Tamandua tetradactyla: one gene and its partner. Each later gene encodes a partner of the first gene's protein in a complex. Links are inferred from orthologs where the notes say so. Each region holds a gene or a part of one and is shown on either strand. Other genes may lie near its edges. The genes, in order: EIF3I and EIF3F.

What was found.
Region 2: EIF3I (region 1) and EIF3F share a complex: the UniProt entries of both Homo sapiens proteins name them as parts of the eukaryotic translation initiation factor 3 (eIF-3) complex. The link is inferred for Tamandua tetradactyla from reciprocal best matches to the Homo sapiens genes EIF3I and EIF3F.

Annotation. Positions count from the first base shown.
Region 1 is NC_135328.1:193,655,431-193,672,273, reverse strand, and holds EIF3I (eukaryotic translation initiation factor 3 subunit I), read left to right. Parts: upstream 1-8,048; 5' UTR 8,049-8,183; coding exon 8,184-8,453; intron 8,454-8,835; coding exon 8,836-8,928; intron 8,929-10,192; coding exon 10,193-10,280; intron 10,281-10,543; coding exon 10,544-10,609; intron 10,610-11,531; coding exon 11,532-11,681; intron 11,682-11,763; coding exon 11,764-11,891; intron 11,892-13,421; coding exon 13,422-13,532; intron 13,533-13,651; coding exon 13,652-13,741; intron 13,742-14,045; coding exon 14,046-14,119; intron 14,120-14,478; exon of another isoform or gene 14,479-14,645; coding exon 14,646-14,738; exon of another isoform or gene 14,739-14,883; coding exon 14,884-14,965; 3' UTR 14,966-15,030; coding exon of another isoform or gene 15,031-15,035; 3' UTR 15,036-15,046; downstream 15,047-16,843. Other genes in the region: DCDC2B (doublecortin domain-containing protein 2B), read left to right, coding at 448-499, 955-1,031, 1,288-1,419, 1,728-1,874, 1,976-2,180, 2,645-2,771, 3,200-3,303, 3,549-3,638; myotubularin-related protein 9-like, read right to left, coding at 15,297-15,430, 15,517-15,668. UniProt on the Homo sapiens protein: Component of the eukaryotic translation initiation factor 3 (eIF-3) complex, which is required for several steps in the initiation of protein synthesis.
Region 2 is NC_135334.1:82,115,527-82,131,253, reverse strand, and holds the start of EIF3F (eukaryotic translation initiation factor 3 subunit F), read right to left. Parts: upstream 8,341-15,727; 5' UTR 8,305-8,340; coding exon 7,935-8,304; intron 7,631-7,934; exon of another isoform or gene 7,551-7,630; intron 4,556-7,550; coding exon 4,485-4,555; intron 4,230-4,484; coding exon 4,150-4,229; intron 3,700-4,149; coding exon 3,562-3,699; intron 2,134-3,561; coding exon 2,042-2,133; intron 258-2,041; coding exon 121-257; intron 1-120. UniProt on the Homo sapiens protein: Component of the eukaryotic translation initiation factor 3 (eIF-3) complex, which is required for several steps in the initiation of protein synthesis.

The DNA of each region.
Region 1 (16,843 bases):
ATCTGGCTTCCAGGTCCTACTCTTCATTCTCAGCTGAAATTGCTTTCTTTAGTGCAAAGAGCAAAGGGTCGGGAGCTAGAAAGACTTAGAATCTGGGCTCTGTAACCTACTTCTTGTGTGACTGGTGTCTCATCCAAAATGGGGATAAAACCACCTACCTCATGAATAAGAAAATTCCTGTGATATAGCAGAAGTCTATGAGTCTTTCTCAACCCTTTGATTGTATGCTTTGTATCTAAGATTCCAGTCTAGATTCCTAGCCTCACCAGGGCCCCAAGGAAGACAGGTTCATATGCCAGCATCTGTTTCTGGACTGAGATGACAGAGGCTATTCCACTGGTGTGGAGGGATACTGGTGTCTTGAGTCCCAGTCCCACACTTGAACAGCTGCATGGCTATTGAGGCCCAGAACCCCCAAGATGACCTATGACCTATCTGTTCTTTCAGCTATTTAACCCCTGGAGGGAAGGATCCAGGTGGGAAGAGCAGCCGACTACCAGTGAGTTCTGAGGAAGGCTGTCACCCAGCTCCTCTGTCTTCCCCCCCTTCCTGGGATTGTCCCCAGTTGGTCAGGGTAGTCAGGGCCCTGGGAACAGCAGGACTGACCAGTTCCCTGGTGGGCATTCCCTTGCCCACTCTGGAGCCAGCTGTTATCTTTCCTGTGGGACAGAATTCCTTGCTTCTTACCAAGCCTTTTACCTTATCCCCAGGCTGTAGTCCCCAAAAGAAACAGAAGACCATTCATTCAATATGGAGGTGGGTAGGAAGTGAATTGACTTAGGGGAAGTAGAAGCACCCTTTGGTGAAAGGTGTGACTAGTCCTCATCCCTACTTACCAGCCCCCGCCCCCCACCACAGTGTGGTTCCTTCCTCCTTCAACCCACCCACCTTGGATTGATTCACCTAACGAGAGGCACCAACTCTCTTGACCTTGGGAACTGACTTGGATTTCAGGGTCCTCCAGTGACTCACCACCTGTGTGATGGGGCCCTTGGAAGGTGGCTGCCTGCAGGTGCCCCCTGCTATATCCAGTGAGTTCTCTGGTCAGGGAGCAGGGATATTTGTTTTAGTAAGACCAAGAAAATGGGGGTGAGTTTGCCCTAGGAGCCTCTGGTCACTGGGTGGGAATGTGAAAAGTCCAAAATGCTTGATGGGTGCAAATGGACCAATGCAGTGATCTCCTAGCCCCTGTGCCATCCTTTTTCCTCTTATACCCTGGGAGTCCTGGGGCCATGGATAAACAGACCCTAGGGACCCTCCCCCCTAACCAGGCTGCTTTTGTCTCAGTGTGTTCAGGAATGGGGATCTGTTAAGCCCCCCATTTAGCCTGAAGCTATCCTGGGCTGCCAGCCAGGACTGGGAAATAGTGTTGAAGCACCTGACTGAAAAGGCCAAGTTGCCCAGTGGGGCTGTACGCAAGTGAGTATGGGGACTGGGGAGGTCCAAAGGTCCCACAGGGAAGCGTCCTCACAGGTTTGGGCCGTCCCCCGAGGATGAAATGGCAAAAGGAAAGCATGCTGTCCCAAATGGCACTTCCCTCTACACCAGGGTAAAGCCCTCCGGCCTAGCCCTTGGAATCAGAGCCAAGCCTTGGTGACTGGCCTTGATGCCCAGAGGGCCAGCACCCAGAGGGTACCTAGGAATAGCTGGACCCACCCCTTCAGTCTGCTGAATATGATGAGGCATCTTGTCCACTGGCCCTTGTCCCACTCTCTTTTCTCTCCTAGACTCTTCACCTTGGAGGGGTTCCCGCTGTCAGCAGGGGAAGCTCTGGTGAGTGGCTGTTACTATGTGGCTGTTGGAGAGGATGAGTTTAAGGCCCTGCCCTATCTGGAGCTGCTGGTGCCCAACCCCTCACTGCCCAGGGGCTGCTGGTATGTCTGCATGAAGCTGAGGGGTACCAGGTTGGAGCAGAGGAAGGCAGCCTCTGATCTGTGTGCTCTCAGAATCATGTCTTCCTCTTCTTTCATTGCAGGCATTCCCAGGCCCTGAAGTCTATTTGCCACAGGCAGGAAGTAGGTGATGTGGGGGCTCTGGGGGTGGGACAAGGGGAGCAACTAGCTGAGTCCTCCAGCTCAAGCTCTGACTTTATATCACTGCATCTTCTCAATAATCTTGTGGAACAGATTATCCCCATATTCCAGAGGAAGAAACCAACTCAAAAATGTGAAGTGATTGTTACTTAGGATAACAGTTATTGAGTGTCTGAGAATCTGGTCTGAGAGCCAGCTCATCAAGGCCATATGAAGGTCTTCAGGCCTCTGAGTTGCTGGACCAATTCCTTCTTGCCAGGCTGGATGCTAGGAAAAAACTGGCATATCTGCAATGGCAGGCTCCAAGGAAGCTTATTGGCACCACATCTGATCCCAGGCCTGAGCCCTCCTAAAAAATGAGCCAGTGAGCAGGAGGGAGAAATGGGCGGGTGGTGGCAGCTTCCTCCAGCATTTCTAAGTGCCAGGCATCAGCTGTTCTGCCTCTCAATATGGTAGCCTGATGGGAAGAGTGAGCAGGAAAGGAGGATGCAGGCATCACTGCTCCCAAATTCCCAGAGGTGTCAGAGGCACTTTGAAGGAGGTCGAGATTGGGTAAGAGGGAAGGTAAGAACAGCCAGTACCCATGGCCCAAGCCCAGTGTCCCTCTATAGGCTCGTGGCCACAGAGCACAGGCTACCCAACCCTCTACAAAGGAGCCGAGCCGAGTTGAGCCATCTGCCTTCTATGCCAGGCCCCAGCAGCCAAGAAGCAAGTTTCCTGCTCTCTCATTTCTATCAGGTGAGGGGCCCCTGGGGCCGGCCCAGGCCCTTCTCAGCTATACTCTGATGTGACATGGGACAATCACTGCTGTTGTGGGGGAGATTGATGGGGGTGGCATCCTGGGGACAGCTGACTCTGACCTCAGAACTGTCTCTGACTCCATCTTCATATCCAGTCCTTTGCCTCTTCACAGGGACTTGGGGCATATGACAAGAAGCACATGGAGAGGAAAATGCTTAACTCAAAGGGTTAAAACTTCAGGCAAAATTTGGAAGGGATGGGGATGTGGGCCAAAGACCCTCCTCTAAACATCCCTCCCATCTTGAGGTAGTGAGAAGTGTGAAGAAAGGCTCAGAGGAGGGGAAGGGGTTGGCACAGAAGGTCAAGGGGAAGAAGGCTGGGGGCCCCTTAGCCTGGACATCAGCTGATGCTGCCTTCCTTATTAGGAGACAAGGAAGTCTCTGAGGCTCCCCATCTAAGGACAAAGACAGCAGGGGCCCAGGAAGCAGCTGATGAAGAACACACCTGGACAGAGAGACCCTTGGATCAGGTGGGCTGCGGTTCAAGGCAGTATGTTGGGATGGGAGGAGTTTTGAGCTGGAAACTGGGGGCCCTGGACTCCAGGAACAGTTATTCCCCTTTATAACTCTCCCAACATCTCAGAGTCCGACTTGTTACATGAGGGGACAGATCCTGATTTCTCAAAGTCTCTTCCTTTCCTGGGGCCAAGGAACTCCCTGCTGAGGGCTGGAGCTGGCCAGCGGATGCTAAGAGTTCCATTCCATATATCTCCAGAGGTCAGCACACATACTGAAAGAGGCACTGTTCCTGGGAAACGCTCCACCTGGAGCTGGAGCAGCATCAGTCCCTGCTCCATCATCTTGAAAACCAGCAATTCCAACCAGGACCTGAGGACCAGTACTCTGCAGCCACCTTTTGTCCTCAGCCTCCAGAAGCCTGTTTCCAAGGAGCCTGTCTCTTAGCTCACAGGTTAGCCCATGGCCTTCTCAAACCTTCCCCACTGTTCTGCATTTAAGCCCACAACCCAGTCTCCCCTTCTTCTCTGAGCAGAACAGTCCTGACTGCGAGGCTACTTCCTTTTGGGGTTCTCTGGCCAGAGAAAGGAAAGCAGACTGAGATTGAGGGAGAGGTTACAAACTTGGAAGTGGGCTTCCACAATAAAATAATACTAACCTTTGTCTGTTTACCACAGATTTATTGAAGGCTACTACTCGCTAGGTATTATGCTGTGTGCTGCAGTTGGACAGTGCCAGGGCTCACAGTTGTCTACCCATTTGAAAGAGGCTGGGTATTTGAGGATTCTCACTCACTTCATGGGTGGGACATGTAAGGTTGGTCAACAGTTCGTCTCCCCTAACCTGCCACTTCTGGTGGACCTTCTTCCCCTCAATTCCACCCCTTCAGTCAGCTAAGTCACTCTGTGCCTTTGAGGCCTCCTGTTTGCATTTCTGGCTCAAAGACTGCAGGTGGAGTCCTGAGGTTCATGGAGCCCACTGCTGTGATGGCCCAGATCAGGCCATAGTAATGGTGGCTAGGCTGGGGGCTGAGATGAACGCTGGACCAGAAAGGTTGCTGAGGGTAAGGTGAAGTTTCTTGTGCTAAATCTCAGCAGCTGAACAGCACCTGAAGGTTACAAAACCCTTTCACTCAGGTTCTCTTATTGTGATCCACGAGGTAGGTGTTATCCCCATATAAGATGAGGAAGCTTAGGTTCAGAGAGGGGAAGTGCTAGATGCGTTTGCTCACTGCCCTGCATGTCATGGCCTAGGAGCTTCCTGGAGTCAGCAGACCTGAAGGGTGGGCTCTTCTCACTCAAAGGGTAGTCAGTTGTCCCTGGGTCTTGCTCACTGAGCTTGTGATGCAGAGTGTAATTCCTGTCACGGTGAGCACCATGCCTGTGACTGCTCCTGGGATAAGGGGCAGAAATAGAGGGCCTGAGCCCAGCCATGCCAAAAGAAGCTGGTCCAGGGCTTAAGGCAGAGCTCAGGTAGGGTCTTCTTCCAACTCCCCACCCCCAATCTCTAACTCTAACCCAGACTGTCCAGGGGAAGGAAACTCTGTTGGCCACAAGGAAGCATGAGAGAACTGGAGGATGGACAGCGAGAGGAAGGGGCAGGATGAGGAAGCCTTCTCCCCACCCATCCATGGGAGAGAGGCTCTGGATAGTAACTAACCCAGTTATATCAAGGCCTAAATAGCTACTTGCAGCAATCAAGTGGCCCAACTTACGTTTTCCACCAATATCTTCTCCAAGGATCTTCCCGACAATCAGCGTGAAGACAATGGCCAGAGAGTTACACACGGGCACTGCTAGTGTCAGATCTGGGTAGGTAGAATGAAGAATCCCTGAGATGTAAAAAAATGCCTTTCTAGGCACAAAACAGTTTCATTTCATCAAGACGGCCTTTCATTTTTTAGGTGAAGTCACGGCAAAATATAGGACTCACCCAGATCTTCTGACTCCAAGCTTAGTGCTCCCTCAGGATTCTGAGATGAAGACCTGATCCCCAAGGTCTGGGACCATCCTGGTTTGATGGCAGACAGACAGATACCCAAAGTCCAAGGCATGCAGTGGAATGAGTGCAATAAGGCCAAACACAGCCACCGTTTATTAGGCTCAAACTATATGCTGGGTGCTCTGTATGCCTTATCTCACTTAATTCTTACAACCACACTGCAGGGAAAGGATTATCACTAATTTGCATAGGGAAAGGAAACAAAGTTCAAAGAAGTCATATACACTGAGGCAAATTGAGGATTTAAACCAAGCTAAACCAAGGTATGCCTTAGTCCAAAGCCTGTGTCCTTATTGAACTGTATGGATATGGACAAATCAAAACACCTGGGGAAGCACACTTTTGTTTCAGTTTCAGCCCACGCATGGGCCTTAATGGAGTTGAAGAAAAGACAAAAAAGGTGTTACAAGTGGAAGGCCAGGTACCTATTCAAGACAGCCCCAGAAAGTAGGCCTCATCTTAGTCCAGGATCTGTTTCTTAGTTTTGAAGCTTCAAAGAACTGATTCCTGATTAACAAACTCGAAAAAGACTAGTAGATAAATCAGAGGCTGAGTTACTTGTTTTACAACAAGACTCATATTACTAGGCAGACTAGGATACTCAGGTTGGCTTCTCACTACATTTCTGCCCGGCATTCTAGGCCTTACCTGCTTTAGGGAGAAGAGGAACTTGGAACTCATCTGCCCTCATTCCCTGTCCAGCCCCTGGTGTGGCTGGCATTATCCATCCATAAAACTGCCCCAACACTCCTACTTAGAGCTGCTTTCTTAAGTTTGCATACCTTACAAGACATACTGTGCTTGCTAGACTCTGGAGTTGGGGGAGAGGAACAGCAGGGTGCCATGGAAGAGCCAGGGCATTGGAGAGAGGCAGACATAGGTTTCCCTATGTAATACTGGTTGGGTCATTCAAATACCGAGCCTCAGTTTCCTCACATGTAAAATAGTGATAGCAAGATATCATTTCCTTTGTAGGGTTGTTGTAAATGAAATAGAGTAACATATGGTTCCTGGCCCATGGAGATGCTTCGTTAGTAATGACCACGGTTCTGAGTATTAGAAAGTATGTTGTTAAAGGATGGAGGTAGAGCAGGTGATGAAGATTCCAGGATCATAAAACTGCCATTTGCTCACAACTTGGTAAATGGTTAATCACAGTCAGCTCACCAGAGGATTCAGCATTCTTGGACAGCAGGGAGTGTATTAGGCCAGAGATTTTCAAACTTTATTTAAAGGGAATCTTATGAGAAGCCGAAAATATAAAACATATGAAAGCAGAGTGACTCTAGCTGAATCTTAGATGACAGATCTAGAGGCTGGCTATCCCCTTGCCCTCCCATGGCCTTCGATGGGTTCCCCAGAGCTACAGGGAGCAAAGACTTCCCTCAATCACATAGAGGCTTGAATGAGACTCCTGGACAGGCGAAATCACAGCAGGGAACTTCTCATAGCAAAGTTCAAGACTATAAACTTATAAATTAATATATGGCTTCAGAGCCATGTGCACTGTTATGCTATGGGACTTAAGAAAGATGAAATCAGTTGCCCCAAATTTTGTAACCTCATCCCCTGAATGCAGAAAATCATGTCTGTTTCACAGTCATGATGGGAATTAAACAAGTTTATATTTATTGAGCTCCTACTGTGTGCCAAATGCTTCTCATACCTTATTGACTTTGAATCGTCACCATGCTATCAAGCAGACTATATAAAACCAAGGCTCTTGCTCAAGGCCATTCCAGTAGCACACAGTGGAAGTAAAAGTGTCAAAGCCAGTACTTGGTACAGCAAGATGAACCTTTCTACTCTGCAGCAGCTCAAGATGGCCAGGCTTCAAACCAACTGTAATGCTGGCAGCATATACATAACCAGCCCACTGTGCCATACTGCTCAGAGAACAGGGGGCAAAGAGAGAACCAGAGAGAGTAGACTCTCCCTCACTGATGGAAACAAAGTATTTCAAGGTCCCTCCCCAAAATGACTCAAGCTAGAGACCTACCTGTTGATGCCAAGGTGAAGTAGTAAAGAAGGGAGCCACACTGGTTGAGGAGAAAAGGCCTCAGGTACTGGAAACGGGAAAGTTGCATTCAGTGTGGTTGCTAGGCTGAGTAGCACTTCTCACTTTAAGCTTCTAGCATCTGTTTGCCTTTTCTTAGAGGGAGAAGTGGTTAGAAGGGCCTCGGAAGCAACAAAGTCCACTGAGAAGGACTTTTTCAGGGCAAAGAGGGAAACAGTTACTGACTGAACTCCATCCCTTTATCCTGTAATGCCCTCTCCCTCAGTTCTGTTAGTTCCCATCCTCTCCATACTGTTCACCCCTTCCAGGAAGCCTTCCAAGTCCTCTAGCCCCATCCTCCCACTTCTGAAGACACAAAGCATTTTATCTGTACCTCTCTCATAATCTTTAGCCCTGAAAAGTAGTTTTGTTCATGTTTTGGTCTTTCCCACTAGCCTAGATTGGCAGCCTTGGAGTCAGAAGTAGTGATCCATACCCCTCCCCATCTTCCCTGCAGGGGGCCAATTTGAGCTCCAAGCCCTCCCTCTGGAAAGGTCTGTTGGAGAGATCACAACAAAGGCAGCCACGGACTGAGTACTTCTTATGTACTAGATTCAGTGCTAAGTGCTCTGTGTACCTCACCTCACTTAATCCTCACAACTGCCTGGTAAGGTGGTTACTATTATTATCCCTATTTTACAGATAATGAAATATAGGCTCACAGAGGACAAGTGACACATACAAATGCATCTAGCATGTAATTTTGACTCAGACCTGTCTGACTCCAGAGACCATTCTGAGCGCAACTTCCGAGAGAGGGGCCCTTCACGGACATACCTCAGTATTGAGGAAGAGGGTCTTCATCTCCTGCAGCAATTGCTGGGCCCAGGAGCGTTCATGAACCCGCTGCAGGCCGGCGGAGGCCCGCTTCAGCAGCGGCTGAGTGCCACCCCACAGAGCAGCCACCAGCACCAGAGCCAGCACCTGCCCTGGATGAAGGTTCAAGTCACCCTGCTCTGCCCTCCCCGGCCGGCCGCCTGCCCGCCGGGCCTGGACCTCCCTTGGCCTCCCATCCCGGCCCGGCCCTCTCCTGGCCCACCCTTATCCCCGCCCAGCCTGGCCACATCCTTCCTTCTCGCATTCCTACGCCTCGGTTGCGACTGGCGGGTACGTCAGCTCTGGGGAGGCCGGAGACGTCAGTCCAGGGGCCTGGGTCCCGGAGTTATAGCAGGGGAAAGGACTGGGCAGTGGAGGTGGGTAGGAAATATACTCCGGTTGGAGTCGGGAAGTCAATGGAGGGACGGAGCGAGCTACCCACCTAGAGACGCCGCCATGGCAACGCCTCTGTCTTCTACTTCCGGGAAGGAGGGGCGGAGACCTATAGTCCGGAAGTGGCGTTATAACTCTTCCGGTCCTGCTCACTTTGTTCCTTTTCTCGCGTTGCCGCTGTGATGGTGAGCCCCCCTAAAGGGGGGTTGTTGGAGTGGACGTCCCGGGCTGGGACAGGGGCCCGATTGCGGGCCCTGACACTCCCGTCCTGTTTCCACAGAAGCCGATCCTGCTGCAGGGCCATGAGCGGTCCATTACGCAGATCAAGTACAACCGCGAGGGAGACCTACTCTTCACCGTGGCCAAGGACCCTGTGAGCGTGGCTCGGAAGGCGGGCGGGACCATGCGGAGGGGGTCTGTGACGGGACGAGTCCACTCGGCCAAGGCTGTGGGGTGGACTAGCCAGTTTTGCCGCGAGTGGGGAAACAAAAGAGTGCATCGTTCTGAGAATTAGGGAGAGACTATCTCGGGCGTAGGTGGGTGAGAGCAGTCTGCCCGAGAAGATGGGAGATTAACTTCATCGTTGGTGGAAGGAGGAGTGTAGCCGGCGGTGAGTGGAGGGGCTGGAGAAGCAAGAATTGTGGGAGGGGAGCAAGGGTCAGCTCGGGTTTTAGAGAACAGAAGCATTATACCAGGATAAGGGACAGACTATCCCTAGTAGGGAAAAGTTGATCCTTGGGTAACGAGGGAAACAGGATTTAATAGCGGTGTCCCTAGTCATCCCTCTTTCTTTCACTCCTATTTCAGTCAGTTCTTCTCTGCCCCAGCCTGCACCCTCTGCGTGCCAACAGTCCCACATGGTACTACTCTTCCAAACACCTCCATACGGAGAAAGTTAACTATGGTGTTTAAAAGCGGGAGCTCTGAAGCCAAACCGACGTGATTTGAATCTTGACTCCATCTATTAGCAATGTGGCTTTGAGCATGCCATTTGACCTTTCTAAACTTCAGGTTTCCATTTGTATAAAATATTGGTATCATAGGACATCTTTTAAGGGATTATCTTTAGGATCTTAGCACACTACCTGGAGTATGTGAGTGCTTAATTAATGTCAGTCATTTATATTTTAAACTTCTTAGACATTTTACTGGAGCTTCTGAACTACCCTTTGAAGGAGGCATTTTACAGATGGGAAAACAATTTCAGAGGGGAGAAGGGCTACATTTGAGATAGTACGGTGAGATAGTGGCAGAGCAGGTACTGAATCTCCAGTTTCCCTCCCACCAACTCTCCTATTTGGACAGAACACCAAAGCAAGTGTTTTTCTGCTTTGAAGCTTAGCTTGGACTTTTACTCTTCCAGGGGTTTGGGAAGGGGAAGGCAAGAGTCTAAGGGGAGGGCTGGGACAGTAGCAAAAAAGGATGCTTTTGCAAGCCTCCTGAACCTCTGCTTCTTACCTGAAGGGAGGAGAATACAGGACATAGTCTTTTTACTAGCTCCCTGCTATTTCCCAAGAGTTGAGCAGGAGAGAGCAGAATCTGGCTTGGGCTAGAGGCTGCTGAGATTCCTGGGGCAAAATAGGAGATTGTTCTGCTCTGCTTGGAATGTGTAGTATCCTGTCATTTGATTCCTCCAGATTGTCAATGTATGGTATTCCGTGAACGGTGAGAGGCTGGGCACCTACACAGGCCACACTGGAGCTGTGTGGTGTGTGGATGCTGATTGTATCCTTGTTTTGCTCTGACTCTGTGGTCCCACATTCTGCCAGCAATGGAAAGGCTGCTAAAGGGGGGTTTGGGGATCCTCCCTCTTGTTTCCTCTTCCCTGATTGGAAAAATATTTGGGACAAGTTCCAGGTCTGAATGGGGAGGTGAGAATTCTCTGGGGTAGGCGGGAATAGAAAGGCTGAAAGGGATGTGATTCAGTTGGCATTGTAAACGACAAGGGTTCAGGTGAACTTGGCCATGTTTCTTAACACTCTTTTCAGGGGACACCAAACATGTCCTTACCGGTTCTGCTGACAATAGCTGTCGTCTCTGGGATTGTGAAACAGGTAAGCCTTGGTTGCTAACTTTTTCAGCAAACATTTAAGCGAACAGATTCTGGGGAAAAGGAGATAAATCCAGAGACTTTCCCAGTCTAGGGAACAATGAGAGATAGATGAGGAAATAAGAACTGCAGAAGAGAAAAGAGACATCCTTGTAAGATAAAAGCCATGTTAGAGGAAGTATAGAGTACTGTGGGAGGACAGGGACAACTGACTACCTGGAGTCACATAGAAACAGCTGGGAAAGGCTTCCTAAGGTAAATGTCATGAGCTGGGGCTTGGAGGATGAGAAAAGTTGTCACTTTGGCACATGCAAAAAATAAGACTTGGTGAGCCATCTGATTTGGCTGGAGTTCCTGCTTCTTGGAGGGTGAGATAGATGGACAGTGGAGAAGATGAGGCTGCTGAGGTAGGCCAGGGCCAGAACAGAACTTGATGGCCACACTCAGGAGCTTAGCCTTGCTTTGTAGGCCTTGGCAGCCTCAGAGGTCTCTGAGCAGTGGAAAATGGTAGTCCATATACTTTTAGCTAGTTCAGTTAGCAGTGGGGAGCATGCATTGGAAGGGCTGAGACTGAACACAGGGAAGGCTATTAAGCTGTTCTATTTAGTAAATATTTACTGGGCACCCAATTATATACCAGGTTTATGGGTACTGGAGACATGCAGAGAAGTTAAACCAGGTCTTTGCTGTGGAAGAATGCTGTCTGAAAAATCCACCCTGAGCCGTGCCATATTAGTTAGATATCTGAAGAGGGATTACAGGGAAGAAGTTAAAAGATTTTAGCCAAAGTGACAGTGAGGAAGAGGAGAGGTCTGGGTTGGAGTTACTGGAGCAGAAGAAGCCATGGGAGTGAGGAGCAGGTATAGGAAATGTACTCCCGGCCATGGCAGTGGGGAGGTGGTAACCCAGACATTGCCTATCCCCAGGGAAGCAGCTGGCCCTACTCAAGACCAACTCAGCTGTCCGGACCTGTGGCTTTGACTTTGGGGGCAACATTATCATGTTCTCCACGGACAAGCAGATGGGCTACCAGTGCTTTGTGAGCTTCTTTGACCTACGGGATCCGAGCCAGATCGGTGAGAGCTGAAGCTAGGGCTGGGGTTGAGATGGAAGGTATGGGTCCACAGCCCAGGGCCTAACATATGCTGCTCCACACAGACAGCAATGAGCCCTACATGAAGATCCCTTGTAACGACTCCAAGATCACCAGTGCTGTCTGGGGGCCCCTGGGGGAATGCATCATTGCAGGCCACGAGAGCGGAGAGCTCAACCAGTACAGTGCCAAGGTAAGGAGCCATGTAGGGCTTGAGCCCACCAGAATGATTCTTTACAGAAGCAAGGACAGTGCAGTGGTTAAGAGTAAGGGCTGGATTCAAACATAGATTTTACCACTTTCTAGCTGCATGGTCTGGGGCAAGTTACATTACTTCCCTGAGCCTGTTTAAAGATCAAATGACATTAAGTGTTTAAATAATTTGTCACAGGGTATTCAGAACATACTAGTAATGATCACAGATAAGCATTTTCCTGCCACCACTGAGTGCCTGGTTCTGTGCAGGGCTTTAAGCTCACAGATATGAATCAGACATGATCTTTGCCCCAGGGGGAGATGTACTCTTAAACAAGTAGCTTCTGATTCGGATGCCTGAATTTCTGGAGCTCCCAGAACATAATAACTTAGGTTTCTCAGCAAGTACTGATTGTGGCCCAAGAGGAGGCAAGCCTACCCTCAGGAACGCTAGGGAAACCAAGGACAAAGACAAGAAGGAAATAGTGGAGCTGATCTGTGCCCCTGATAGGACTGACTGCAAAGCTCTTGTTCATTTCTTGAAATGTGGAGTATGGTATCTCCCTACCATGTGACCCAAATTGTCTGAGGAGACAAAAGTACCTTCTTCTCACAAAATAGGTAAAAATAGTTAAGGAAAGGAAATTTTTGTGAGGGCCTGCTATGTGTGAGGTGCAGTGCTCAGGCCTCGTAGACCTCAAAGTGTCTACAGAGCATATGCCAGGTGCCTGCCACGACAAAGTCAAATAAGACACAGCTTCAGTATCCTGGGAGGTGGGGTTTTATTGGTCTTCTTTTGAGATAGAGGTGGCAGAGAAGTACTTTCAAAGACCGTACAGCTGATTCCAAAACTCTGCTCTTTATACTACCCAGTCTAGCAGGTTGTTTAGTGGCAAGGGAAGTCAGGAAGTAAAATGGCCTTTTGAGGAAACCTAGAAATGATGGACACACAACAGTCCCCTGTGGAGCGACCAGGACTGAGCCCTTGGCTGGGAAGGGGGTATGAGCTTAGGTTCCTTGCCTCTTTCTAAATGGGTGGTCTCCAGAAAGTCATGCCTCTTCTCTGAACCTTGGTTTCTTTCTCTTAAAATTGGGATGGTAATACCCACCTCAGGGGATCTTTGAGGATTAATTGAAGGGGTGTATTGTTAAGTCTTTGACACAGTGCTTGGCAAATAGTGGCTGTTCAGTAAATATTTGTTGAAAGAAGGAATAAATGGAAACTGCTCTACCATTATAAGTAATGATGGTTCATTAATGGATCCATAGATTTGTGACCATGAATATGTTTTCCCTGATACTTATAGATGTCCTAGCAGTGTTTGTGAAACTCACACTTGTGGGCCATGCTAGATGTAGTCTTGCCCTGGCGGAGGGAGTAAATATTGATTCAGGGGATACGTAGGCAGTCACCCCAGACCCCCTCACCCCTTGATGGGACAAGAAGTAGAATAAAAGAGCCTTGGCTGAACAGCAGGGCAGGTGAGTGTTGGGGCTGGTTAGAACCTCCCTTTTTCCCCTTCCCCAGTCTGGAGAGGTATTGGTGAATGTTAAGGAGCACTCTCGGCAGATCAATGACATCCAGTTATCCAGGGACATGACCATGTTTGTCACTGCATCCAAGGACAACACAGCCAAGGTGAGACTGGGGAAGGGGTTGGGGGGCTACTCCCACTCTCCTACTGCACAGCTCCAACCTGCCTGACTTCCCTCAAGAAGGCACCTTTTCCAGATTTCTGCCCTGCCTTCTCTTTCCAGCTCTTTGACTCCACAACCCTTGATCATCAGAAGACTTTCCGGACAGAACGTCCCGTCAACTCAGCTGCCCTCTCTCCCAACTATGACCACGTAAGGAAACTCCACCCACACATCTTGCTTAAGCTTCAGAAAACTTCCTGGATCTAGACATTTGTCTGGCAGTTAAGCTACAAACCCTGAGGGGACTGGTGTCAGGCAGAAGAGGTTCCCAGAGCAGTGGCAGAGCTGAAGGATTGAGTAGCAGGTGGGCAGGAGGTGGCTGGAGTGTCTCTTAGTCCCGTTCACTTCCTGTCCTTTGACATGGGAGATGTTAAAGCTGATGGAGGGAAATAAACAGTAAAAGGGCGTAGTTGCCCTTTCTTTGGGCCTATCTACAGTTTCTTCTTTCCTTCAGGTGGTACTTGGTGGTGGTCAGGAAGCCATGGATGTAACCACAACCTCCACCAGGATTGGCAAGTTTGAGGCCAGGTAAGAGAAGAGGGAGTGCTTTCAAATTGAAACCTAACACAAACCATATGAATGAACAAACTTCCCTTATTTCATTAGCTGCTAAGAAATGCAGCCAAACCTGTGGCTGTTCTGTAATAAGTGTATAATGTACCAGATTCGAGCATGAACTCTCAGCTTTCCTCTGAGGCCGCAGACACATCATTATAATTCTCTGTGCCCAGATTTCCTTGTCTGTAAAATGGGGGCAGTGATAATACTAATACTTACCTCATAAAATTACACAGATTAAATAAACAGGTGAGTACTTACTATGCTCTTAGAGCACTGCCTAACACATAGTAAGCACTCAGTAAGTGTTATCCAGGCAGGCATTTGGGTCTAGTTTTCCCCTGGTTTCATTTTATTTTGTTCACATACATTTCCCCTTGTCTTGATTTTCCCATTTTACTTTTTGTTACATAGTGTGCATTTGAGGAGCACTGTGTTTTAGAAGAGATGGAAAATGAATTAAGTGTGTCCCTTCCCTTCACCCTCTCTCCCCCAGATTCTTCCACTTGGCCTTCGAAGAAGAGTTTGGAAGAGTCAAGGGTCACTTTGGACCTATCAACAGTGTTGCCTTCCATCCTGATGGCAAGAGGTAGGGCCCTAGCTAAGGGAGCTGAGCTCAGCTGGGCCATGTCTCTGCCCCATACCCCATTCTCTGCCCCTTTCCCACGCTTTGTCCCACAGACCTGCCTCTCCCAGAGCAGGCGTCTGACTGATCCCTGGCCGTCTCTTTCTAGCTATAGCAGCGGCGGAGAAGATGGCTATGTTCGCATCCACTACTTCGATCCACAGTACTTTGAGTTTGAATTTGAAGCTTAAGAAACTGGATCTCCATCCACTCCAGGGAGGCTGTTCACAGAAAGTTTTGGAGTCTGAGAAATAAACTAGTCTGAAAATAAATGGTTTCTGGTCAGATATTTTGGGGGACTATTTCACCATGTTCCCTTTCACCGACACCCGAGCAAGCTGATGCCAATCATGGATACCTTTATTATTTGGACCTTCTCCTTATACTTTGGACACGTCAAAGCTGCAACTTCAGTATTGTGAACTAGGTTGGGTTGCAGGCACCCTCACCCAGGGTCCAAAGTTGTTAAGGGGCCTGGAGAGGTCTCAGGAATGTCTCAGTTACTATCCAAGGAGCCAGAGCTTAGGGTTGGGGCTCAGAGGTTGAGGCTGTTGGCTGAGAGTCCCCTGTCTTCTCCCTTTCTGTCACTATTTGCCACACCTTCCCCCCTGCCACTTCTGAAGGCTCAGGAGGGTGGGTCCAGCGCAGAAACAGGCCTGAAGAGGAGGAGGACAGGTAAGGAAATTGAACAGAGGGGATATAACTCCCTATGGGAAAAGGGGGATGGGAGTGGGGCAGTCACCTTGCCATAGTCGCAGGCTCTGGGGCTCCACTGAGGGCCAGATGGCCAAGGGATTGGGGACATAGAGTGGGTTCCGAAGTTTCCGTTGTTCTTTCGGCTGGTTTAACCCCGACCACAGGGAGTGTGTTCGAGTCCTCACTTCACACAGGCATCTGCAGGGAGTGGAGAAATGAGTTTCTGGCCCCAGCTACACCCCCTGGGATTCTGGGGTTAGAGCCCCCTGGGGCAGCAATAACCTCTCATTTCTCCTACAGATTTTACTGCCAGTCAGATCTTCTGGCAACCAGAATAGAGCAGGAGCAAGACAAGATCCTCGTTCTTCAACTGTTACGTTTAGAGGGAGAAACCAATTTAGCTTTGCCCAAAACTGTCAAGGAAGTTTCATCAGGAACATGATTTGATATCTGGGCTGGGTCTATGAGCAGAAATTCACGAGGTGTACAAAGACAAGGAAACACTTAAGAGGGGAACCACTCAGGCAAAAGCAAAGTGAAAAACAGCCCAATGCGAATATTGATAAGGTCTGGACCAAAGACTTTTAGAAAAACATGAAAGTGGAGTTAGAGCAGTGAGGAGGCTGTTCTACTGGTCCAAGTTGGAAGGAAGAGGTGTTTTGATTAGGGCAGTAAGAAGGGCATTTTGACAGGAGGGGAATAAGCTAAGAAATATTTAGGAATGAGATTGAATATGAAGGGCTGGGGACAGGGAAGTAAAAGATGACAGTTTTTTAACCTGGATGACCCACTAGAGGAGTTAATGGAAACAAGATAGGTGGTGCAGGAGGACAGTAGGAGTTAATCAAATCTGATCCCCACCTTGGAGAGGAGTGAATCCTTCCCCTCATTCCTCAGTGTGATGAGCTAATGAGGGCTTATTGGGAACATGTACAACCAGCCACCCAAATAATAAAAACTACCACTTCTTGTGAAACATATCTGTGTGCCAGGAGCTAGGTTAATCTCAGTTAATCCTCACAACTCCCCTCTAGATTATGGCTCCTAATTTAGTCTTCCCCATGCTACCAATGAGAAAACTGAGAGTTGGAGAGGTTTGCAAGATCACCCAACTGATGATCTTGCTGGAATTGAGAAAGACTTCTTGACCAAAAGAGGGAAGAGAGAAATGGGACAAAATAAAGTTTCATTGGCTGAGAAATTTTAAACAGAGTCAAGAATTTATCCTGGAGGTTTTTTAGTTTTTGATGTATTGGAGAGACTAGAGGGAAGTACCTGAAACTGTTGAGCTGTGTTCCAGTAGCCTTGATTCATGAAGACGATTGTATAACTATATGGCTTTTACAATGTGACCGTGTGATTGTGAAAACCTT
Region 2 (15,727 bases), on another chromosome or scaffold:
GATTCAATGAAGCACAGATAATTCTCACCACTGAGAGGGCTATCATCTCACCAGCACATCCCTCAGCGATCTCAGAGTGGAGATCTGTGCCCTCCCCTGTTTTTCTTTCTCCCTCCTCACCAGTACATCCTCTGCATATTGCAGCACTGTGCTCAGGGCATCCTGGATGCGAGCTGATGCTCCTCCTACTTGCTGTAAGTCACTTGAGAGTCCAATAACCCGGTTGGGGCTAAAACAGGTCTTCATGATCAGGTCAACTGAGGGTAGGGTGGAGAATGACAGCACAAAGAGACACAGACAATTCAGTATTCCCATCAGGAAGGAGACAGTCTTTATCCATTCCTTCTAGCTTTTCCCACCCTCCCTCGGGACTCATTCAGCTTCCCCAATCTCACTACACTGCCCTTACTAACTTTCCTTCCTCTTGGGAAAATCCAGTTCCTTAATTTACTGTTATATTAATCATCAGTTTTGATCCCATATAGCCTCTGGTGCTGATAATTTACTACCTCCAACAACTTCCCAAATAATTTCCTTGTATCTCATTTATATAGGGAAATGACTGACTTCCAGTCATCACAGATCTTAGATCAATGGTTCCTAATCCTGACTAAGCATCAGGATCATTCACAAGTTAAACAAACAAAATAATGAAGTACACTTTTTGGGTTCCATTCCAGACTACAAAATCAAAATTTCTGCAGTGGGACTCTGTTACCCATATTAAGCAAAAGTTCCACAGAAGCCTCTGATATATAGTCAAGGTTGACTATAACCAACTTAAACACAGAGCTAGTTTGCTCTCCCTGATCTTGCCCCAGGAATATAGCATCCATTCAATCCAGAGGATAATCACTAGTATGAAGGCCCAGTGTGAGTCATGCTCACGTAAGACTTGATCACACTAATATAATACACTGAGAGTCTTAAAAGGATTGGGAAAAAGGCACCTGTTAGGAGAATTGCTAATATGAATATTTAAACTAAACTCTGAAAAGGAGAGAGAAAAAGCCCTCTATCACATCTACACAAGAAGGAAATATAACTAACTGTGACAAAAGGATAGGATTTGCAAATTTGAGTATTTAAAATGATCAATTTAATAGCAAATATTTTGACAAACCCATCACAAAAGATAATGGCAGACCAATGGCTCCAGACAGACAAGAACTTCAGCACTAGCACAGTATATAGGAAACAGATCTGAAGTAAACACTCTATAATACTAATCAGGAACAACAATGATGTTTACTAAGCACAGACTGCATGTTGTACTCTTGAAAATCATCTTATTTTAACTTCAGAGTAAAGAACTTGCCACAATACAGGATAAAACCAATTCTCTCTGAGCAAGGTCATAACACTGGCAGAAAAAAGATGTAGTGAAGTTGGGACCATCAACTACTATCTAACTACTATAAAACCTCAATCTACTAAAAGATGAGCATCTGAGAAATTAACTTGTTTTCATGACGTCACCCCTAAGAGGAAGATACAATGAAGAAAATAAATATTCTAGTATCTTCTCAGGAAAGAAGTGAAAACCATAAGAAAGTGACCAATGAAAATATGAATAATGTGACTGCACACCAAGTGAACTAATTAATAACTAATAGGGTTTGTCAGTTTGTGGGCAAGCAAGTCTCTCATCACTGAGGCACAGTGGAACACCACGTAGATTTTAGGGCTGGAGGTAAACATTAAAGGTCTGGAGGTACGAGCAGAGAAGAAGGGAGATGAAGGATTGGAGGGCAGGGAAACAGCAGTTCCTGTCAATGATCTATTCTCATTGCCTAGATCCAAGGTAATAGGCAAAAAGCAGAAAACACTTGCAGAGAATAATAAAAGTAAGACTTAGATGCTTCATTTAGAGATAACAAGATGTTTTACTTTCAAGAGACAGGCACTGCTAGGCCTTTCTACCCCCACAATCTCAAAAGGTCAGTAATCATTATACTGCTTGCCCTCTTTTACCCACCCAAGGATCCATCTCTGTTACAGATTTCCCCTGAAAAAACGAGGGTACAGGAAGGTGACTCACCTCCAATGCGTTCAGTGTCATAATATGCGTATCTCACTGTCAGAGGTGTGAACATCACCCCCATGGTCCTCCCAGGAACGCCCATTAAAGTGCTGGGGAGAGAGCAGGTAAAGGTCAACAGATAGCCTCGGGAAAGGGTTTCCATGTCTAGTCTGGGCTGGGAAAGGAGTTACAGCAAGTGTGGCCTCCAAGGTTCTCAGACAGGAAGGTTGGGACCATGTGAACTCGAGAGGTCTCACTGGAGCAAAAGTCACTTTCTCCCCTTACCTCATTCCATACATTAAACCCCTTAGCCTGTGAGAAGGGACTCAGCTTTCAACACGGCCTGATATCTTTTAAACCTGTACAATCTCTGCGAGGAGGAGGAAAGCACAAAGGATTTTGCCATGGAGATGACTATCTATACGCCCAACCTCATGGAAAGAAGAGACTCGGTCATGGCTTTTCTAGGACTGAGGACTGTTTATCAGTATCTTAACTTACATACTGAAAAAACATATTGATTCCTGCCCAGCAACACCAGATTGGGTGCTATAAGTAATCTCACTGAACAGGACTATCTTTACAAAGTTAACAATATATTTTCAACTGGATCTTGGAATCTAAAATATTTGGAAAAGATGAGAAAAGAAATCAGGCCATGGCCAGAGATTAGAGGTACAGCCAACTGGACCATAAGGACTTGGCAACCATCCTCTTTGTCTTACTGCATAGTAGCTGTCTATACCAGTGTCAGAAACAGAAACAGCACACTGTTAAACAGGGTAAGAGATGTACCAACAAATGCTTTCATTCTAACCAAAGATATGATCCTCCAAATTCTTTAGCATGGTACCAGCGCTTTTCTCAACATCCTCCACCAATAGGAGTTTTAACTGCAAGCTCAATGTGTCATCACTATAATGTTAATGTCACTCAATTCTGTGTTAATAGATATATTCAAAATAAGGACAATCTTTCTTAAATCTGTACTACTCTGAGTACTGTGTTCACTTCCAGGGTAAGGACAGATGAAAAGGTTAACTCAGGAAAGCCATGAATGTGGTGAAGGACCACAAAAAGAATATCATATGAGGACTGGCTGTAAGAATTGTGGCTATTTAGCTTTGAAATTGTAGATATTGGTTAACACTAATGCCTATTATTTGTTACCAGCTCTACTCTAGACTTTTACTAAATGACCTTGATTTTTCAGTCTCTAAACTTTTTCCCAAGAGAAACATGTTAGCTTCCTCAAATATCTAAAGGTCTGCCATTTGAAATTGGTTAACACTAATGAGTAGAAACCTAGGGTAGAACCGGGATCAGTGAATGGAAATTACAGGGAAAGATTTTGTTTCCAAGTGAAACTTTCCAATGATGATTACTGAGAGACAAAGAAAAGGCTTCTTCAGAAATCAGTGAGTTATGCACTGAAGGAATTAAACTTGGTTGGGGGGAGGCAACTGTTATCCATGCATGGTGTGGGAGCTAAGCTAGATAGCCTTTTATGCCCTTGTGGCCCAAGATTCTGTGGTCACCTGACATAGGCCTTGATGCTCATGCGGCCATTCTGGAGGCTCGTGTCCACAGTGAGGTGAATGGGGTTGGGGGCCTCCCGGCTGTAGTACTCATGAATCAGCACGGAGTGCTCTGTGATGTCATGGCCTGTAGCGTACCTGGAAAATGGAACATAATCACGGAGGTCAACAAATGGACTTAGGTCTAAACATGATATCAATTTCAAACTGGTGGTGGTGGTGGTGTCTCTGGGTACCTGATACCCTATGATAGCAACACTCTATACACTAAAAATAATAGTGCTATAAACGCTACTATTTTCTACTCACACTGAAAACTACACTGGATCAGAAACTGATTTAGAGCTTTTAAAAAATTCTGACTCTTTGGAAAGGCAACAAGACTTGCTCAGTAAAAGTTGTAATTCAAAGTGTTTTTGGTCGCACAAGATCAGAACTGCCAGCAAAACACACTGAATTTACAGTTCCTTGAGATGAGATATTCCAATACTGTGTCTCTAAAAGCAGAAGTATAATAATACCTAGTCTGATGGCAGGAGACCTTGGCAATTACCAGGAGACTTTCCATTTTCCCCTTTCCTGACTTACCAGCCCAGGATGAGCTCATTTGGAGAAACTTTCTTGTGTAATTCATACATGTTCTTAGCAAATTCCATGTCAACAGCCACCTAAGAAGGAAGAGAGGAAAGGAAGCTAAGATGCCAGAGGTCCTTAGAGAAAATGGATAAAAAGCACAAAAGGTCACCCTCAACAAAAATAAAGCCCTGGAAATAAACCCAAATGCAACAAAGCTTCTCGGGCTGTAGGAGTTCAAGTTATGAGCACAACATAGTATGCAGAAAGAGGCCTTACGGGGAATCCAGCAGATGAACAGCCAGAGACTGGGGGTGGGGGAAGATGGTCCCACTCAAAGTTCCACTCACCTCATCTTCTGACTCATTGTGTGGCACTGAAAAGCAATTGGTGACTTCCACAGAGTGTTTGTCTACAGTTCCTATGAAAGAAAGAATCATCCATGCATTATATAATCCCAAGGCTCCAAACAGTTTCCAACCACTCTGGAAATGCTTTCAGAGGTTTTTTTAGTAAATATCAAACTGAACTTGCTAGTTCCAAATTAAGCCATGGGTATCAGTGGAATCAGAATTCTTCAGAAAACTAAAATCCTGCAGTAACCTCCAACTCTTTCCTTTATCCACCACGAAATGGAATATATTTTTCTTCTACAAGGTCTCCTTTGCCTATTACTTTCTGTTACCAGCTCTACTCCAGACTTTTACTAAATGACCTTGATTTTTCAGTCTCCAAACTTTTCCCTGTAATTTCACCTACAGAGCTATCTGGGAGAATTTTATGGTGTGCATAAAACTATCCATACAGAAGCCCACTTCTATCCTAGTTCGCCTATATTTTCATTCTGTACTCTTACTCCAGGTCAGGCCCTGTCACCCATTTTTATAATAAAGTTTTATTGGAATGCAGCTATGCCCAATCGTTTATGTATTGTCTATGGCTGTTTTCCTACTCCAAAGGCAGAGCTGAATATTTTCAACAGAGACTTATTGCCCACAAAGCTTAAAATACTTACTGTCTGGCCTTTTACAGTACAAGTTTGTCCTGCAGTAGGTGATTTCAATCATTTTTATGGTTTCTATATCCCAATGACACAATTTCTGAAACTACATATTTACCCACATCTCTCTTTTACACTCCAGATCTACATATTAAACTTTTGACTTGACAGATGCACCTGGATACTTGATGAGCATTGCAAAAAGTTCCAAACTGAATCAACCCTTACATTTCCCCCCATCTCTTCCACACCCAATCAGAGACCTAGAAGTCATCCTTGAAACTTTCTTTTTAATCCCTCATTTCTGATTCATACCATGTCCTATCAACTCACTCACTCCTCTCCATCCCCACTTCCAAATTATTAAAATAGCTTCTATCTGGTGTCCACAAATAACCTATTTCTCTGTTATCCACTCTACAAACAGCAGGCAGAATCATCAATTCCTATTTAGTCTTAGCTGAAATGCCACAGTTAAGGTGTTCTTCCCCCACGTACCCCCAAACCTAATGAGGGTGCCATTTTGTCTTTCCATAATTTCCTAACCTTCTTCACAGCACTTTGCACACTTGTAATTATTTAATATCTCTTATGACTCTACACCTCACTAGCTTCATTTCCTGTCGTATATCTTTTCTTCTATATTCCTCTAATGCTGAACCACTCAGCTAGTGGAACTTTTTATACTTCCTGCATCTGCTTTAATGCCCAGCTCAAATGTCATCTTTTTTGTGATGCTTTCCCCAAACTTCCAAAATAGTTTTATGGACTTCCACGTCACTTTGAATACCTTTCTACTGGAACATTTATCAAATTATATTCTAATTACTTATATATAATCACATTATATTCTAATTACTTATATATAAGAGTATCTCCATCTCGTGTATAAGGTTTATTTTCTCAATTTTAAATTCTAAGTATCTAACAGTTTCTGGTATTTAAGAAGCATAGGTGACTTCATTTAACGAAATGAAATATGTTTCATGCATTATTTACAACCTACCTGAGAAAACCGTAAGTTTCTAGCAGGCAGAATCTATGCGTCAATTATCAATAAGCATTATTCCTGTAACACATAGTACTATACCTATAATCCCAGGTTGAAATAGGATCTGAGAATCTAGATTACAGCTGGTCTAATTAGGGTCACTGTAATATATGAGACACTAAGCATAAATCTTGGGTGGAGAACTATTCGCTATTGAGTTCTGAAAATTTTACAATATAGCTAAAAGAGTAAGTATCTGTCAAGTGTCAAGTCAGTGATGGAAAAATCATTTGTTATAGAGCAGGGTACAGTTCCAGAATGCTATGAGACTCAGTGGGATTACTACTGAGATGAGGGTGGGGTATAGGATGGAGGATTGATACTGGACATTTTCCCTAGGAACCTCGAAGATGGGTGGCACTCAAAATAAAGAAATATAAAAAAGAAAAAGAAAAAAGATGAGGCAGAACAGGGAAGACATTTGTGGCAAATAGAATGCAGAAGCTTAGATTAAGAAAAGTCATGGCAATGTTTGACAGGTAACGGATCAAGTAGTTCCTGTAAATACAATCGTTGTACCCTCAAAGAGAGAGAGAGAGAAAAAGAGAATGCGTATAGGCCTGACCAGGTAGAAGACAGTAACTAACTGCTGCTTCATATCTAATGTGTGCCAGCACTGTTAGGTGACTTCTGTAATAATTTAGTTCTCAGAAAGACTAAGTCTGAAGTAGCCACTGAAAAAAGCTAGGTAATTTTCCCCAAGGCACATGGCTAATATGTGGAGTCTAGTTATAAATTTTGTCCTATTTGTAATACACCAATTATCTTCTAGAGTGTAAGGACATGTCTAAGAGTAAGAAAAAGAAATGATCCATGAGATGGGGGTGTGGACACACAAAGATGTCTAAAACGCACAACTAGATGGAGTGGAAATGTATCTGAGGGGCCCAGAGAAAAGGATTTATTATTAACAATCCCTCTCTGCCCTTTGGTGCTTTTCGCTTCTTTAAAACTACTTTAAAGAAAAATACCTATTCCCCAAATAAAAGTGAAACATGGACAGGGAAAAGATTCTTCTTCAGTTTTAAGATTCAAGCCGAACATCCCACAAATAATAAAACTGTCTGTGTCCAAATGGAGGATTAAAGGCAGCACCGGGGATACAGGGTCTACCACTTCAGGAACTAGTATTATTGGAAATTTAGGAACACAGGATCAAGCTCAGAAGTTTAGGAAAGCAGAATAGTATAAAATCTTAAACGGATTCCAGCCAAATTGGTTAACTTGTTGGGACAGATCTCTTTTTAAAGACGTCCAGCTCTTTTGCCAACTCCTTTGTATACACCTAGAAGATAGAGACATTTACCGGAAGGCGGAAGAACGCGGTCACTACGCTCAGGGTTCTAGTTCCAAGCTAGCCGCTTCCTAGAATCGGCAACTGAACTCATTTCTGGTAGACTGGAGCTAATCAGACCTGAAGTGAAATACTGTTGGACAGTTAAAATGTAAGCCACCTGCCCCACAATATTTATTCAGTAAGTGATAACTACTCATTATTTGTCGCCCAAAGTGACAGCAAGCCGGCAGGAAAGAGAGTCAAACTCTCTGGGAAGATAAGTAGCAGAAAAAAGGTGGGTCGGAGAAGCAAAAGGTCAAGTCATTGTAGTGAGAAGAGGGGGAGGCAAGAGGCCAGGGAATGAAGAAGGCAGGACATCAGGGATAAAAGGGTTAATTGAGTGGGGGCGAGATAAATAGGCGGTGGTAGACAAGAGAAATTGAATTCAATCTCAATTTCCTCTCATCACTCACCCAGCAAGGTCCCGATAACTCGGGCCGCGCCCTCGTTGCGACGCTCGTAGCTGTCCACGATGGAGGCCAAAATGACCGGGTGCAGCCTGACCACGCGGCCGCCAGGGAAAGGCCCCGGGAGGGCCGGACCAGGCAACGCGGGCGCGGCAGTCTGCGCCGGGGCTTGCGTTGAGCCCGGGGTCTGCCCCGTGGCTGTGGTCGTAGCTGCTGCCGCCGCCGGATCGGATGATGGGGCCGGGACCGATGCTGGAGCTAGAGCCGGAGCCGCAGCGGGAGCCGAAGCTGCAGATGGGGTTGGTGCCGGGGTAGTAGCCGGCGCCGGAGGTGGAGTGGCAGGCGGAGAACTCCCGGGTGCAGCCGGCGTGGCCATCTTGTTGAGAAAAGAGACAGGAAAGGACTGCGTTGTAGAAAATTAGGACCTCGATAGGCTGAATATGGATCACGTGAGCGAGATCTTTGTGCCTATTGGCTCCTGATGCTGTCCACGAAGCACTAAAATTTCCTGGTGTTTATGATTTCTTCCGGAGTGCGTGCTCATTTGCTTTCCGTCCGATGCGCACGCGGTGAGAACTAAGCTAAATAGTTCCGAAGAAACTTGGGAGAGCGCTGGGTCAAGAGAAACAACTGAGTCTGCGTAGGTGTCGCCAGATGGCGCCAGAGCGCGACCGAATGCTCACCATTTGTATTTTCACGAATTTAAATGGAAAATGGGTATATAAGTGGCTTCATTCAAAATTCATGTGCCTAATATGAGGCAGGTGCTCTTTTATGCGCTTGGGCTATGTAAGTGAACAGAACAAAGATCCTTGTCCTTGAAGGGCTTACATTCGAGTGGGAAAAGACAATAAGTAAACCATATAATGTTAGAAGGTGACAAGTCCTGTGAAAGGAAAAAGTAGAGGAAGGTGAGGGCAAATCAGGATTGGAGAGGGCAGGGTAAATTATAATGAGAATATGAGATTCGAATGAAGACTTGAAGGAGGTGAGGGAGGTAACCAGTATCTAACGAAGGAGCCATCCAGGTAGAGGAAACAGCTGGGGCAAAGGCGGTAAGCAGGCGTGGGCAGGGCGTGTATAAGGAGGCCATTTGTTGTTAAGGTCATGGGGGACAGCCGCAGGAGGTGAACCTCTGAGCAGAGGGTAGAGGCAGATCATTAAGGACTTGGTGGGCCACAGTAAATACCTAGACTTTTAGTCTGAGTGTGGTGGGGAACCATGGCAGGGTTTTGAGCAAGGAAGGGTTATGCATGATCAGTCTTAGTTTTAGAAGGATCACTCTGGCTACTTCGATAAGGATATACTGAGGGAACAGAGGAAGGTGGGCGAGGAGGAGCAGGGAGACCTGTTTGGAGGCTACTAGGTAACTAGGCGATGATAGCGTCTGGGACTAGGGCAGTGTAAATGGCGAGATGTGGCCATCTTCTGCATATATTTTGAGGATGGAGGGTGGCTTCAACAGAATTTTCTGAGAAATTTTACGTGAGGTGTGAAAGTTTTTGTGCTGAGGAACTAGTAGGAAGAAGTCACCATCAGTTGAAATAGTGAGAGCTATGAATGGAGTAAAAATTAATCCTGAGTTCATTTTTGGATGTGTCACCGTTGAGATGTCCATTAGATGTCCAAGTCAACGCTTTGGGAGAAGATTAAATGAGATAATGCTTCATAAAGCTCTTAGCACATCCCTGATATACAGTACTTATTATTAGGGAGTTCCTGTTATCATTACTATATGATGGAAGGAGCTCTGATCCTTGCTGTGTGACTTTGGGAAATCTATGATTTTTTTCTGAGCCTTGGTTTCCTTCCTGGTATAATGGGAATAATAACATCTGCCTGAAAGGAATCCTATCACCTACCTTAATAAAGTTAGGGGAACTGGCAAGGTGAGTGGGTGAGGATGGACTTCTTAGTCCTGACTATTCTGGCCAGGACCTGCTTTCATCTTGGAGTTCCCTTTCAATATTAGGATTGCTACAATCCCCCGTCAGTGCTTTGGTTCTTTAATTCCCTCAAATACAGGTGGAACGGCTGGCCTCTGGTTCCGACAGTACTAAAATGTCGAAGATAAAGATGAAATAGAATGAAATAAAACCAGGCAAGCTTCCTCATAAAGTCACATTTTCGCTTTACTTAAACTTTGGAAAGGTTCTCTAGTTGTCCTTGTATACTTAGGTCTGCTGTCTGGTAAATTGCTGGGGCTCAACCTCCAAATACGCTTATTTAATTGGTGTGGACTAGACTAGTGACTAGATAAATGGTGCCTAAACTTTGTCTCTTATTACAGTCATCTGTGGAACTTGATAACCATACACAGGTCCAGGCTCTTACTCCAAGAGATTGGGCTCCTGTGGGCTATATAGCTCTCCAGGTGGTTCTGATATACATTGAATGTGAGATTCATTTGATAGAGGTAGGGGAAACTGTTAACGATGGTTCTCAAATTATAATATGCCTAAAATGCAAATTCTTATTCAGTAAGTCTGGGGTGGAACCCAAGTTTCTGCATTTCTAACACTCAGTACTTTGTACAGCAAGGAGTGTAGCCAAGGGGGAGATATTGCTGACCTTAACTATGGCAATTTCAGCTGTGATTTAGAAGAGTATGACTAGTTTGAAAGATATTTTGGAGGCAAGATTGACCGAATTTGATATCTGATTGAATAGAGAGAAGGAGTCAAAAGTTTCCGTGCCTGGGAGACATGGAAAATGATGGGGTCATTATCCTAAATGGGAAAAACGTGGGAAGAGTAGGTTTATTGGAGAAAATCCCTTCCTTCAGAAAATATTGACTTAGCACCCACTATATCAGGACTTAGACCAAAATTAGGGGTATATAGGTTAATTCCACATGGTTCTTGCCATCAAAGAGCTCCTACTTTAGCAGATAATGCAAGAATGAAGTTAATGTTGAACATTTAAGTTTGGAGATGACGTTGGGATGAAACTTCTGATGAAAATATTTGGGTGGAAACTGGTAATGTAGGATCAGAATTTAGGAGAAAGCAGTGTTGATGACATAGACTTGTACATGTGGCAGACTGTGTTTTCCAGAAATGATCACTACACTATTTGCAATGCCAGTTACTTTTCCAAATCTGAATACTCTTCCTTCTGAGAGGTGGTGTCTTTGTTCCCTTCCTGTTACTGGTTGAATTGCATCCTCCAAAAAGCTATGTTGAACTCCTATTCCCCAGTACCTCAAAATGTGACATTATCTAGAAATAAGGTCATTACAAATGGAATTAGGCAAGTTAAAATGCGGTGATATTGGAGTAGGGTGGGCCTTTAATTCTTATGACTGATGCATTTATAAGACAGACATACTACAGGGGGAATGGCATGTGACAACTGAGGCAGAGATTTAAGCCCATGAATTGCCAGCAAAGCACCAGAAGCCAGGAAGAGTTAAGGAAGGATTCTCCACCTCACATTTCAGACTTCTAGCCCCCAGAACTGTGAGGCAATACATTTTTCTTCTTTTAAGTCAACCAGTTTGTAGTACCTTGTTACAGTTGTTCTAAGAAACTAAGACACTTCTGTTGAATTTGGGCAGGGGCTTGTGACGGGTTTTCACCAAGAGAGTAAGGTGAAAGTGATTTTATATGACTCAAACTAGGTTTAAAAAAGGTTACAGCTTCCACCTGGTTTCCTCTCTTGGGACATTCGTTTTAGGAACTCAGTCACCATGCTGTGAGGAAGCCCAAGCCATATGAAGAGGCTTCCTGTAGGAGCTCTGGGTGACAGCACCAGCTGAGATGTTATCCAAGAGCCAGCATCAACCACCACAATTATGCCTGAGTGAGCCTTCCAATTCCCAGTCCCAGCTTGAAGCTGCCCCAGCAGATATGGATCAGAACAGAGACAAACGATCTCTGCTCAGCCTCCAAACTGTAGATTCATGAGCAAAATATATGTGTGTCATTGTTTTAAGCCACTAAGTTTGGGGATGACTTGTTGCACAGCCATACTATTTGAAGCAGTATGTCATCCGCTTAGAAATGAGTTAAAATCATGGAATTGGTAAGCCTTCCAAGAGGGAGATTCTAGGAGGAAAAGTAAAAGACTCCTAGAACATGCTAACATTTAAATAGCTAAGGAGAACCACTCCACACACACTAGGGTGATTATTAGTTTAAAACATGAAAAATAAGTGTGAGGATGTGGAGAAATTGGAACCTTTGTGCATTGCTGATGGGAATGCGCAGCCACCATGGAGGACAGTTTGGTGGTTCCTCAAAAGAGTTAAATTTAGATTTACTACATGACCTGGAAATTTCATTTCTTGGTATATACCCCAAAGCATTTAAAGCAGGTACTTAAACAGATACTTTACAGTAGTGTTCATGTAACATTATCTATGACAGGCAAAAGGTGGAAACAATGCAAGTGTCTATCCACAGATGAATGGATGAATAAAACGTTGTATACACATACAATGGAATATTATTTAGCCATAAAAGGAATTATCTATGGATACATGCTACAATATGGATGAACCATGAAAACATTATGCTAAGTGAAATAACTGAGACACAAAGGACAAATACTGAATGATTCCACTTCTATGGCATGTCAAGAATAAGCAAATTCATAGAGACAGAAAACAGATCAGAGGTTACCAGGGACTGGGTGGAGGGAGACTGGGGGGTTATTATTTAAAGGGTATGGAGTTTCTCTTTTGGGTGATGACAAAGTTTGGTAATGGATGATGACGATAGTAGCAAAATATTGTAAATATGATTAATGTCAATGAATTGTATACTTAAAAATAATTAAAATGGTTTGGGTTTAACAAACAAGTATGAGTGCTGAATCATTATACTGATGTTTCTTTTAGCCTCCAGTACCTTACAGCAGCTAAGAAATAAAAACCTAAAATTGTGGAATTAGTGGCCCATACCAAACTCCTAAATCTGTTCTACAACTAATTGCTGTGATGTACTTAGAAATTTATTGCTTTTATGAATGTATGTTAGTTAAAGAGAAGGAGGAGTATAAAAGTGAAGATAGGATTTAACAAATGAATATGAATCATTATATTGATATTTCTGTTGGTCTCCAGTGTCTTGGAGCAGCTAGAAGAAAAAATGAAAAATCGTGGAACTGTAACCCATACCAAACTTTATTTATTGCTTTTTGTATATATGTTATATTTCATAATAAAAATGATTAAAATGGAAAATTTTATGGTTTACTTATTACCCCAATAAAAACAAAAAGAGTTAAGGAAAGGCAAGGACTGTCTGAGAGATGATAGGAAAGATGAGAAATTAAGAGTCTCCCTGAAGTCAAGGGAAGGACAAGATTCAAGATGAAGCAGGTGTTCAACGAGGTCAACTATCAGAGGACTTGACTAGCGGCCCTTGGATTTGATGATCCAGAGGCTTTAGCAACACTGGTAGAGCAGTGTCAGTGAAATTAGGAGGTAGAGTGGGCACAGAAACCAGAATTCAGGTGTGAGAGAACAATCAGTTTGAAGTGAAGGTATTAACTGCAGGCTATTCTTTCAAGGAAGCTGCCTGGGAAGGAAAGGGGACATTTAAAGCAGTAGCCAGGGAAAAGGGAGTATTGAAAGGGGGGTAATTTAGGATGGAAGTGTTTTGAGTATATTTTAAATTGAGGTTAAGGATCTAGAGGAGAAAGACTGAGCATACGAGTGAGAGCGAGAAGAAACATCTAATGAAATAAGGCCAGAAGGAGGGCCTGGATCAAGAAACCTAAATGAGAGGGGTGGTCTTGCACAGGATGAGGGGCATGCTGGAAAAGCTGCCCTGGGCTGTGGCCCCCTTACAGGGTCAAATGGGGTCTGCCTGAGCCAAGGCTGATCTCCTGAGGTCAACCTATGGGAAGAAGGTCAGAGGAAAGAGCTACCCAAATGAGAAGGGATTGCTGCCCTAAACGGACCTTGCACAGCTCCTGTCCATGTGTTGCTCTGACTTGGATGTGGATACTTTACTTTCAAAAAGCTCAGCTTTGTCTTTATATGAATAACCTAAAGCCCTTTCTCTGGAAGGGAAGGAGAGGGGGATGGATGAAGAATAGGACAAATTTTGAATTGTGCAGAGCAGGAAGTTTCAGGAGCTCAGGTCAGATGACACCACTTACCCTTGGTAAGTGGAGCCATGGTAATCTGCTGAGCATGGCAATGCAGGGGCAGAGTTTAGACTTGAGTAGAATGGGCCATGTTGGGAAGAGGGCTTGAGAGTGAGCCATCAAGAGCTGTCAGAAGCACTGATCAATTATGGGAAGGCCCAGATGAGTCCAAGTTGTCTGAGATCCGACTGGCCAACCTTTGTGATTTTTTTTTTCTCTAGGCACAACAGCCTAGAGAGATTAGCCTAGGAGAGAGATTTTTCTTGTGGTCTTCCCAGGGAAGCTGATTGTTCAGGACAAGGGAATGCATACACACGAGATGCTCGCTTCGCAAAGGCTGACTGAGGGTTCCAGACAGGCTGCTGCACCCAGCAAAGAGAAACTCAGGCAGGGCCCTAGGTTCATCAGGGAAAGGGAAAAAGGTATGGGGAGGGAGAAAGTGGGCCATTCCCCTTGTAAATGGGAAGTGGCTTATGCAGGTATTATTCAGGGTTCCTGGCTGCTGTAGGGGATTTGCTCGATGGGCCTGCCTGAAAAAACCCAGGGTAACAACTACCAGGCTCCAACTAAAGGTGGGGCCTGTAGCTTGATAAATTCTTCTCACCTCCCCATCACTCACTCACTGAGGTGAAGGGAGCCCCAACTACAGCTCAAATTATAGGAGGACCACAAGGGGGGGGCCCCAGGCTCTCTAAACTTTTCAGCAAGTGAGACTTGGGACTAAGTTTCCCTCTTGCAGAGCTGGGCAGGAACCACATCTTAAAGCCCGCCCCTCCCCCCGCCCCCACCTCTTCTGAAGACTGTACCCAGCACAGGCAGGATGGAGGGCTCACTCCCAGAATTTTTCTCTGCCCACCACCAGCAGTTTTCAGGAAGCCATGAACCAAATACTTGGAGAATTTCTACTTCACTACAGAGGCAGGTTCCACTAGCCCTACTCCTCTCGTACACCACAGTTCAGCACAATTAAAGGCCCTGCCTGGAGGCACTTTCACACTGAGGTGATGAGAAGTGCTGTTGCACAGTCCAGCTTAACCTGACCTGTCTCTCTTTAGGCTCTTCAAGACCAGTCTCGTGCTTGCGCTGCTGGCTTGGGACTTCCTTCTCCTAGTTGGTTTACATCTAAATTCTTACACTTGCAGCTGGCCCTTCCTCACTCCCTGCTGTTTTGATGACTAGTGCAGCTTCCTTCTCTGATTTGCTAACTTCAGCCATCCAAGACTCTGCCTCTCCAGGCTCCCTAGCAGCAATGGGCCTGGCCAACTCCCTTGACTTTATGCCGAGGTAGGGTCTTGCCCCTTTGAGACGCTTTCCCAGTGAGGGAGCCAAGGACAATTGCATGCATGGAGGTGGTTCGACCTTTCTTCTCATTCCTGGAACCTGGTAGGTTGTGTACATGGTCCATAGTCATTAGTGATGTCTCTTTTGATACCCAATATCAATACTGGGGAATATTGGAGGATGGAGGGAATTTAGGACTCTTTCGCGTCACCTTTCCTCAACACAGGTGTATAGAATTGTACAAATTATACTTCTTGGTCCATGACACACTGCCTTCTTTGGTCAACTCATGAACTTCTTTTCATTCATTCATCCATTTATTTATTCATTCACTCATTCATTTAAAAAATAATATAATGAACAGAACCTGCTATCAAAACCAAGAATTAGAACACTATCAATAACTTACATCTAGTACT